Coturnix japonica: one gene and its partner. The main gene of each other region encodes a partner of the protein of the gene in region 2 in a complex. Links are inferred from orthologs where the notes say so. Each region holds a gene or a part of one and is shown on either strand. Other genes may lie near its edges.

Region 1 (4,878 bases), on a different chromosome or scaffold from region 2:
CTCCTCCTCTTTGCTCTTGTACTGTGTGCTGTCCACGTTCTGGACATCTCCCCATGCCAACCCAGCTAAAGCTGGCTGTTTGACCCCCTGTTGCAGGGAACATGATGGAGCGCATCACTGTGTCCTGCAGCACCAGCCAGGACTTGCACGAGTGGCTTGAGCACTTGCAGAGGTTGACCAAAGGGACGTGCAACACCGTGTCCAAAACACAGTCCTGGAGCACCCATTCGGTAAGTGAGCTCCCTCCCAGCCTGCCTGCTGCCCGCTGTTCCTCAGTGCTGGCTGAGCTTTTTCTCATCCATTTTCTCAGACATTTGGCTCCACCGGTCAGATCCGTGGTCCCCTGGAGCCCCCCAAAATCCTCAAACCCTGGAGCTTGAGCTGCCTCCGTCCCGCTCCTCCCCTCCGACCATCGGCAGCGCTGAGTTACAAAGAGGTAATGCCGTGTGCCTGGTGAGCACTGTGATTCCTTAACACTTGTGTTCAGCCATCTTACCCCAGTGTGGGTTTGCTGCTCCTTTAGGCAACAGGGATGCTGAGAGAAAACGCTGTGCAAATGAGTGATGCATGCTGGTTGCTGCAGCTGGCTTTGAGCTGCAAGTGAAGCATGAGCGTGTGCATTTACAGGGTCAACCCCATCCCCGGTGTCAAGCCCACAGCTGCACTGAGGGACAGGTCTGGTGTTTTGTATGATTTATACCTATGTTTTGGTGGCCCGAGCAGAGCGGTGCAGCAGCCGTGATGTTTGACCCCATATTCACACACCCATCACCCTCTGGGATGTGTAGCATCCCCCGCAACAACCCCCAGCCTGAGGTAGGAGGCAGCATGGGGAAACCCAAAATAAACCCCTGCTCCCATTCTCACCCCCCACTGCAACTGCAGCATCGTCCTTCCCTACCTTGCATTAAACTTTTGGGATTACTCACCAGTAACGTGGCAACGTTCCTCTTACTGACTGAGCACTCCAGTTCTGAGTCACCGGCCTTTCTGGGTACGGCAGTATGGGAGCATCACTGCCTGGGCTCCCAGGAGGAGAGAGATGGGGATGGGGACAGGGCTCATGGGCAGCTCAGCCCCCCAGCACGCAGGGACAGCGCCCACAGGGCTGTGGGGCTACTGTTCCAGGCCGAGGTTTTGAGGTTGCTTCACTGTGTTTTGATATATTTCTTCAAATTCATGAAACAACGCATTTCACTTTGGGAATTAAATAGATCTGGAACCAAATGAATAGGTGGGAAACCACCCTTCAGCTTTGCATGTTCCAAATCTTTAATGTGGACTAAACAGCCTTGTGCTTGCACGGTGCACTGAAATCTAGGGAGAGACTTTAATTAGAGGAGAAATTTTTCCATATGAAAGTACAAGGGTGAGATCGATTTACAATAGAGGCCAAAACCACAGATTGAGTGATTTTGTTAATACCTCAATCTCCTTTGTGATTTCTCACTCATTCCCTGCCGTGGATCTTTTACACCATCAGTGTAAAGGAGGTGAGAGGTGCTGCCGGCAGCAGGGAGCCCCAAGGGGCTGCACACAGCACCTAGAAGGCCCAATAGTGTGGTGTGGATGGGAGCAGTGGTATCACAGCACCCCCAGCCTTCATGAGCCTTCATTTGCACTCACTGCTGCAGAGCCCTCTGATAGCAAAGAGCTTTTCCACCACCTCCAGGTGATAGCCCTGGGCATGCAGCCCATGGCCCTGCAGTGGCAATTGCAGTTATTGGTCCCAGATTAAACTGTAGCACAAAATGAGCGATGCTAACAGCCGAGCACAAGTCTCCTTGTTTTTACAATGAACAAATAGAACCATTTCAAGTGTCGCTTGCAGGGAAGAGCGTGGGGGAGTTTGATTAAAAGATGAGAGATTTTCAGACATCCATTGTTACTTTAATTGGCTTCTGGTGGTGTAGGATGGGATGGCACAGTCTTGTGCATTTCCTCATACCTAGCTGTGTTCAGGAAACCCCAGAACCTGCTTGCGTACTGCACAGCACCGCTGTTATTTCCATTGAAATTGGGTCATTTTTCCTGTTCTGTTTCCAGTAATCATTTGCAGTGACAGAGCAGGTGCTGTGAGTAAAGCAGTGTGCCCGGATTCAGGTTAGTTAGCGAAGTGAGAAAGGTTTACAGATGATTTCCATTTCGTTTCTTTCTTTTTGTCGGTTGCATTAGGTGAAGGGGTTTTTTAGCACTGGGATTTGTAACTTCTGCTGCTTGGAGCAGCAGGAAAGCCGAGCGGTGCCCTCTGAGAAGCCACAGCCCTGGGCTTTGCCATAGGTTGGGCAGAGCACTGCATCCCTTTATCCCCAGGCACCAGTCCTGTGGATGTCAGCCCATTTTAAGCACCATTCTCTTAAACAAGCAACATCTACTGAAACCTACCACTAACCCAGGAGGCATGCTCTCTCTATGGATGTCTTCGGAGTGGATTAATGCCTGCTTCCCATGAGTTTCCCATGTAACTCGGTCAGTTTTGCATGGCGCCGTTCTCTTTTGCATGCTGATAGCAGAAGCAGTGTGGAGGGTGTGATGAATTAATCGCAGCACTAACATTTAAATGTGTTTTAGAATTGTGGATTTAATGGACTCGGTCAGTAAAATCATCAGTCTCTCACACTCATCTTCTCTTTCTTTGCATATTCATTGTAGAGGATGTCTTATATCTTAAAGGTAAGGGTAGATCCATCTCTTTGGCTTGTCGTGGCAAAGGCTGCTTGGTGCTGTTCATGCTTCTTGTGCTTGCACAACCCTTGTTTTGCCTGGCTGTATCTATAACTTAACACGAGAGTCAGTGGCAACTGGCAAATGCTGGGAGATCTCTCAAGAAGGATTTAGGACCCTGCTACTAAAACTTCCTGGCATGCCTCATCGTTCCTTAAAACTGGAATTGCATGTAACCTATTAATGTACTAATTCCTAATCAGCAAGACGTGTAACTCAGTGAAGGAGACAAAGAGCTTGTGTTCCTTCCTAGCAGAGCCACAGCAAACACTAACTGTGCGTGTGCTTGTTTGTTCTCTGTGTATGTTGGGGGTTATTTGTACTCTCAAGCAAATGCGGTGCATTGAGAAGCAATGCTGTTTGCTATTTCTTCTTTTTATTAGAAATCAAGTTGTGTCAAGGAAATAAACAGTATTTTAAAGTTTTCTGACGGAGGCCACATTGCTGATAAGCAAACACAAAGTGCTGTGAATGTGGCTGAGTTCTTTGGCCAAAGGCTGTTAGCTGAGGGATATCTGCTAAAGGAGCGTGTCCTGTCCCAGACCTGCAGGTGCAATTAGGAAACGTTTCTACTCAGTGAGGTGATGGGGTCACCGTCCCTGGAGCTGCTCCAGAATTGTGGGGATGTGGCACTGAGGGACGTGGTGATGGGCATGGTGGGGTGGGCTGGGGTTGGACTTGGGGATCCTAGTGGTCTTTTCCAACCTGAATGATTCTATGAATTCCCACCTGTGTGAGAGGGAGCAGTGGACATGTGGGAAAAGCAAAGAACACCATTTCCCCCACCGCTGTCATTGTCTGCTTTGTAGTGCTGTAGTGCTTTGTGCGTAGCACCAATAGCTGCATCCAGCCTGAGCTGCTCTGCTGTTGGAGCTGCCTTTGGTGCTGGTTGAACACAACACTCTCTTTCCCTATAGGACTCCAGCAAAAGTCCAAAAACCATGAAGAAGTTTCTTCCAAAAAGGAAAACTGAGAGAAAAGCATCAGATGAAGAGTTTGTTATTAGGAAAAGTAAGTGCTGATTCTTGATCTTTTCTGAGGTTTGAGCTCAGCAATCTCCACAGGGCTTTGAGAAGGGCCTTTTTTCCCTTGCAGGATGCGGCTCAGCAGTGAGCCTGTGTGCTGCTGGGGCTCCAGCTGTGTGCAGACCCTGAGCTGGGGCCCCAAGCAGCACCATGTCCTTTCAGTGTGATTCCCACCATGAGGACACCTGGCTGCAGGTGGTTCATTGTGGCCACAAAGCCAAATTGCTGCTTGAAAGTAGTGAGATGCCGTTCTGACCCTGAGTTCCTCTAGGCAGCAAGAAGTGTGCCTTCACACCTTTCATGGTGTTTAGTGTCACAGGATGTTGCAAAGGCCAGAAAATGTGAAGGAGCTCAGAAAGGAATTAGGGAAAGTCCCAAGACTGTCAGTCAAGGAAACAACACCTTCATGCCCAAAGGCTGAACACAGAGATCTTGGCTTTTGCAGCAGCTGATGTGTGTGCTGTGTTCCAGGTACTGCTGCACTGGAGGAAGATGCTCAGATCCTGAAGGTGATCGAGGCGTACTGCACCGGGGCGGGCTTCCAGCAGGCACTCAGCTCAGGTGGGCACACAGCAGGTTCTTGAATGCTCCTCCTGCCTGTAGCGCTGATAACCCTCTGGGAAAAAAAACCCAGCTTGTTACATCAGTGAGCAGTGAGACTCATGTTAGGAAACTGTGTGGTGTTCAATCTTTGAGATAAGGGAGCTTCATCTGCTCAGTGGTTTAGTTGCCATTGTTTTTCTTCTAAACACAGAGAATGAGCAGATAGGAGGGCAGATGTGATGCAGCTACTTCACCAGCACTTGTTAGGAATTAAACAACCCTCGTCAGTGCCTGTGGCTGTCAGCACTGAAAACCTGATGCTAATCTCGGGTTGCATGTAGCTTTAGAAAGGAAGCATGAATATTATCTCTCCATCAGCTGCGTATTTAAAAACGAGCTGCTTCATAAGAACCTATCTACCATCTTCAACGCTGGAAATAAAAGTATTTATCACTGCTGGTAAGATGTCAAATTAAATCACTGAACTATCAAATTATGGCACGTTTGTGAAAGGGAGGTCGTGTTCTTCAGAGAGCTCCTGACCTTCCCCGAAGCACTTCATTTATAAGTAATGATGGAGCTGTGA
Region 2 (5,678 bases):
CTCGTGTATTTACACACATCTCCGAGCTGCACAGATGGTCATAGTCAGAGATGGGGATTTTATAGGTCTTTCTAACTAATGTACCTGTAGCATGGCCCAAATCCCTGTGGAAAGCAGAGCCGGGAGATTTCCAACATTATCATCAGTGTAACAAAAAATAACAGTGGAGAGAAACCTGTCCTGTTTATCCACTATCAGACTGCAGGAATTTCTGGGCACTGGAGCCCCATAGCAGCATGGCTCCCTGTTCTGGCCTGGTTTGCCACCCCATCAGTTTCAGCTCTTCAGCTGTTCTGGGCCTGGGCACATGAACATGAGATAAACGTGCCCTACACAGCAGGGCTGACCAGAGAGCTCTGAACTCCATGAACAGAGGATAACATCAGATGAGACATCAGGTAAGCTGTCTGTCACTGAAAACACCTGGAAGTGTGACAGATTTTTTTGCACGCTACATCAGATTGCGTTCATCTGGAGCCCAACAGAAAGCAGACCCCGACTGCCCTTAGAGACTTGCATAGAAAACACAAATTCTGCTCACTTTGCTTATCTAACATGCACTGCAGCACACTTTCCTGAGGCAGCGCTCATCTCTTCCTTGGTCCCCCCACAGCAAGGACTGCTTCCCCAGCATCCAGCCCCACAGCTGGGCAGGCGATGGACACAGCCCATCCCTGCCTTCCTCGGGTGAGCAGCATCCCGCAGCCACGCTCTGCGGGGGGGTCTCTGCCTTTGCCCTTGACGGGCTGGCGGTGGGAAGCGGCAGAATATGAATAGCTGCGTTTTAACACAACCTCTTCCTTATTCAGAGAACCTGGCAGACAGAAACCAGGTGGGCTCCCAGCGCAGTGGCACGGAGCCGTGCTGGCAGCAGATGGCAGCACCTGCACCTCCCGGGAGCCGCATCCGCGATTGGTGCCGTATTGCGAGCGGTTCCAGATGCCGGACGCGTGTCAGCAGAGATCTCCTCCTCCTGGTAAATGTGGAACAGCTGTTTGACCCCCAGCGAGCCCCTGGCCCAGAGCTGGCTGCCGCCTGCGGCACCGCGTGGAGAAGCTCAGCCTGCGGGCCCCACTGCTGCACAACCCAGCTGCATCCACGTGTGCTCTGTGTGCATTGTGGCAAAGGGGAGAGAAAGACTTGCTGAGCCAACAGCCAGGAAACAAGCAAGTGGCAAGACAGACCACAGCCAGTTCCTGTGAAAGCATTCCAGTACTCCTGAGTTTATGGTAACTTTCCATTAAGAATATCTGGTCTTTGAACAGCTTAGTTAGCAATGGCAAATGATGCTGCAGATAAGTACTTGAGAAGGTGATCCTAAGTTCCTTCCTTGTTTAGGAACTCGTAGGCTTTGGGAATTCACATTACATCAAAACCAAAAGCCCTACAGACTCATTGTGGTGTCCACATTCTCCGTTGCTCCTGCAGCCCTACCATCTGTCACTGTCCACTGACAAAACATCGGCATCCTGCCCTTCCTTCACTCTGCCCACACTGCCTCCAGCCCCACACACCCCAGTGCCCTGCAGCCCAGCACCATTCCTCCACAACTCGCTTCACTTGCTTCCTACATCTCTTACATACAAAAAATGACAAACAGAAAATTCTTGTCCAGATTTTGCTGATCCCCATAAGATCTGGAGATGAGAAGAGCCGAATGAGTGCAGAGCATTGTGAATCTCCTGGCAGGCAGGAATCCTACATACGTGTAACAAACACAAAATACTCAGGGAGGGATCAACAACAAGAAGATTTCATTTGGTTCTAATCTAATTTCTCACAAACATTAGAGCTCATTTCCATTTCAATCAAATCTGCTTGCATATTCCTTGTGCTCGCGACAATTTATGCTCATAAGTTCATACTGGGTAACCTAAAAGAAACAAACACATCTTGTTTGACTCGGTAACTGAAATGACAGTGAAATATTTTGGTCTTGAGCAGTATATGAATAAAGGGGGGAAAGGAGCGGTTGCATGCTTGTGGGCCTACAAACACTCCTCTTTGACAGTCAGAACAGAAAAAAAAAATAAATCAATGGAAAGAAAAGCTCTGTTTTGCTTATAGGAAAGGATGAGGCTCAGGGACTGATTTAGCTTCCTATTGTTTTCCCAGCAATGATTCCACATCCAGAAAAAGTACCGTAAGTCAAGGGAGGAAGAACACACTGTGCAAAGTTAAATCTTGCACTCCTGGGGTCTGTTCTGCAGTCTGGTAGGTTCACCCCCTCAGCACCAGGGACACAAGTACAAGCCTGGATTCACACATACACCTGATGGAGCATGAGGTGTTGCCATTGCACTCTTGGCTAGAGCTATTTATTCACATAAGGATGACAACTAAAAAGTTAATTCATGGCTTTGATTGAGCTCAGGACTTTATAAATATGACAGCATTGTCTCACTGAAGGCCAAACACAGCCCTTGTCCCTCCTGACTGCAAAGAGCTCAACACAGAACGACTCAAAGCCACCCGCCTGTTTGACTGCTTTAACAACAGGCACAAGCACCAACAGAACCGTAGCTCACACTGCAAGACACAGCCAGCATAGCTGATCTTTAAAAATGCATCTGGGTCAGTGGTTGCCTCAAGTAGAATAAACGGGCTGCATGAGTGAAACACCCTGCAGAAACATTACCCTGTGGACCCAACTCGTGCTGATGAGGACAAATGGGCCCTTTTAGAGAAGGATTTTTAAATGCGCAAAGTGATTTGGGAATACAAGTCCCAGAGGTTTCCCCGGTGCCTCAGGTGCACAACCTGCAGGCTCTGTCTAAAAAGTCTGCCCTTAAACTGTACTCAGCTTTGTAATGTTGAAACCCCTGGCGATACTCAGCAATTCATCTTGGCACACAGATAGCATCACTTAATCACGGATATTCAAATATCTATAATCATCAATTAGGCCTCCAAACATCTCAGCTGGCTAGAAAGAAATGGTTACCTTAATTATACACATTGAAATAAGCTACAGGTGGTAACAGAGAAGATGGGATTAATTGCAGTTACACGAGGAGTTACAGCCAGGCTGCCCAGCTCAGCGCCTCCATCCAGCCGCTCTCCCTCCCCTCACATCCCTGCAGCACAAGCAATGACCTTTTGCAAAGCCCAGCACACCTACATTCACACAGGTCACTCTTACTCACAGTAACGAAGCTACCTGTAAGCATCACCACGTATGTCTTTGCACTGCCAATTAAACAGAACTTGGTTGCAATTACCCCTACTAAGCGGCCTGTTCCGGCTCCGGGATCTGCTTCGCTGTCTCTGAAGTCGTGACCTCCGGAGCAGACGATAGTAGTAAGACGGTCTCCCAGAACTTTTCCTGCTGTTCATTGACATTTTTCTGTCTATTTTACACATGCACACATGCAGGCACAGGTTCACTCTCCCCTCTGGCAAAGTAGCAACAGTTCCAGCGTGTAATCAACAGGAGGTTGTTCTGTGCGGTGGAAAGGGAGAGGGGGGAAGAGGAACTCTTCACTTTACACATTTAAAAAGAAAAACAACAGGAAGAAAACATAAAAAAGACAGAGAGAAAAAAAAAATAAAGGAATGCGGCACCAGAGTACATGTCTCAGCAGAGGGAGGGCTTGAAGCAAGCAAGATAGACTGTACTAACAATTCCTGCCCCCAAAAAGATAAGCGCTTGTGCTGAAGTTGGAATAGGAAGCCAGAGTTGGCCTGGACTCTTGAAACATGAAGAAAAGGCTGGAAGAAATCCTGGACTGGATCATCCCCACTGGACAGCAGCATCCGACCGAGCAGCACTGGAGGAAAGCAACGCTTGCTGCAGGAGAGCAGCCGGGCAGCCCCTGCCTGCCAGCAGCTGCACGCTCCGGGATGGAGTGCCAGGCAGCCGGGCTGCAGCAGGAGGCAGCTATGGAATATGGGGCAGGAAGGGTATAACAATCTCCGGGCTATGGGACACATGTTAATAATCATCATGGAGCAAAAGCCCCGGAAAATAAAGTGAAATTTGAGAGGGGAAAACTTTAATTAGAACTTGAATGAACAGAGCTCCAGACTCCCCTGGAGGCCCATTTCCTTTCAACATTCAAACTGAGTTATAGCACATCCCATGAAATAGAGAAAGAGCCTATTTACCATTTGGGTTCTGATGGCAGTGAAGATTCTGTCTCCGGCTCATATTGCTCAATAAAATTACATTGCATTGGGCAGAATTAACGCTTTAAGCCATGGAAGAAAAGTGTAAAAGAAAACAGAATAACCAGACCAAAAAACTGACCTCCAGATTTAGTTTTGAAATGCCAGGTGAGAGGTAAATAGTCCATATTCCTTCACCAAAGCTCCTCTGTGGGCTGGCACAGATTGTGCCCTGCAGGACAAGCAGAGAGCACTGCAGAAACCCTGAGCCACAGCCAAGGACTGAGTGTGCTGCCACTCCTCATGGGTTGGCAGATAACAGAAAAATCTCTGATCAGAGTGGGGTGAACTGGAAAACATTTACACAACGCCTCTCTGTAGTGTGCCTTACTTCTGCTCTGCTTCCCAGACATTTGTGCAAACGTATCTCTGTGGTAGGACCAGGCAGGCTTGGCTGAGGATGAGCTGTGCTCCCTGCTTAGTTGGAGCTTCTGCAGGAGTCTGAAGGCTTTCCTGGGTTACACCGAGTTGTGCCTTCAGAAACAAGTAGCAGAAACCACCCGACCTTGGTTCCCTCGGTGTGACATCTCCTGTTAGTGCTTCATGTGGGAAACAAAAGGCCTTCTAGTTCTCCTAAGGACTGTCCCTTCCTTACCACCAGCAATCCACCCTACTTTCAGCATTTTGTACACTCACACAGTCATGAAAAACATTAGAACTTTACAAAACCTTTGTTGTCTTATTTACATATTATATAGGGAAAATATTGTGTTTATCAGTGGAGAAAGACCCTTTCGGGACAGGAAACAAGCCTCGGCCTTTAGTAAAGTCCATGCCTGGTTTTGAGGCCACACATAAGGAATTCAACAGCTTTTAGACTGTGCAGGAATGAGCCAATCACGGAAGCAATGACAAGTTCAGGTCAAGGAGGGAGCTCCAGCTGGACAGCAGAGGCTCCATCCCATGCTGCAGGGGGATGCTGCGTGGGGACATTGCTCTGCTTGCACCCAGCACCAGCTGTCACCCAGCCCCACAACACATCACAGCAAAAAGGAGAAGGCTTCGATTGCATGCACATCTGTTCTCACCTTGTTATCCAGAATGTTGGGGTTTAATTCATATTTGGGTAAATGAAAACACAAAAAACAATAAAGAAATGACAAAAAACTTTTCCCAAATGACCAGAGACTCATTCTGTACAGTTGATTTGGTTTGTAAATAGGGCCAAGAACAACTATAAGACAGTGATGGGAAAACCTGAAAATACTGAGGCTCAGTGACAGATCTGTTATAGACAAGAAGCCAAATGCTCACATCTCTCTCTGAATTTTGGTGTCCTAATGACTGAGCTGGTAGCTGAAAAGAAGCTTTTTCCTATTATGCTTTTATCATTAGAAATGTCCTTAAAAGAGCCGACCCACTTTATTTTTTACTCTATTTCCAAGAGAAAAAAAAAAAAAAAAGGCTCTGATGGAACTGAACGTTGAAACAAAACCATTTTAAAAGCTCATCCAAATTCAGACAGTCCAAAAGGGTGATGTCCACCCAGGTTGGTTTTGCCTAATTGGAAC

Evidence for each region.
Region 1: DAB2IP (region 2) and ARHGEF6 share a complex: the UniProt entries of both Homo sapiens proteins name them as parts of the cytoplasmic complex. The link is inferred for Coturnix japonica from reciprocal best matches to the Homo sapiens genes DAB2IP and ARHGEF6.

Annotation. Positions count from the first base shown.
Region 1 is NC_029519.1:4,238,064-4,242,941, reverse strand, and holds part of ARHGEF6 (rho guanine nucleotide exchange factor 6), read left to right. Parts: intron 1-96; coding exon 97-230; intron 231-310; coding exon 311-436; intron 437-2,652; coding exon 2,653-2,673; intron 2,674-3,641; coding exon 3,642-3,735; intron 3,736-4,220; coding exon 4,221-4,310; intron 4,311-4,878. UniProt on the Homo sapiens protein: Acts as a RAC1 guanine nucleotide exchange factor (GEF).
Region 2 is NC_029532.1:6,961,926-6,967,603, reverse strand, and holds the start of DAB2IP (disabled homolog 2-interacting protein), read right to left. Parts: upstream 3,646-5,678; 5' UTR 3,364-3,645; coding exon 3,222-3,363; intron 1-3,221. UniProt on the Homo sapiens protein: Functions as a scaffold protein implicated in the regulation of a large spectrum of both general and specialized signaling pathways.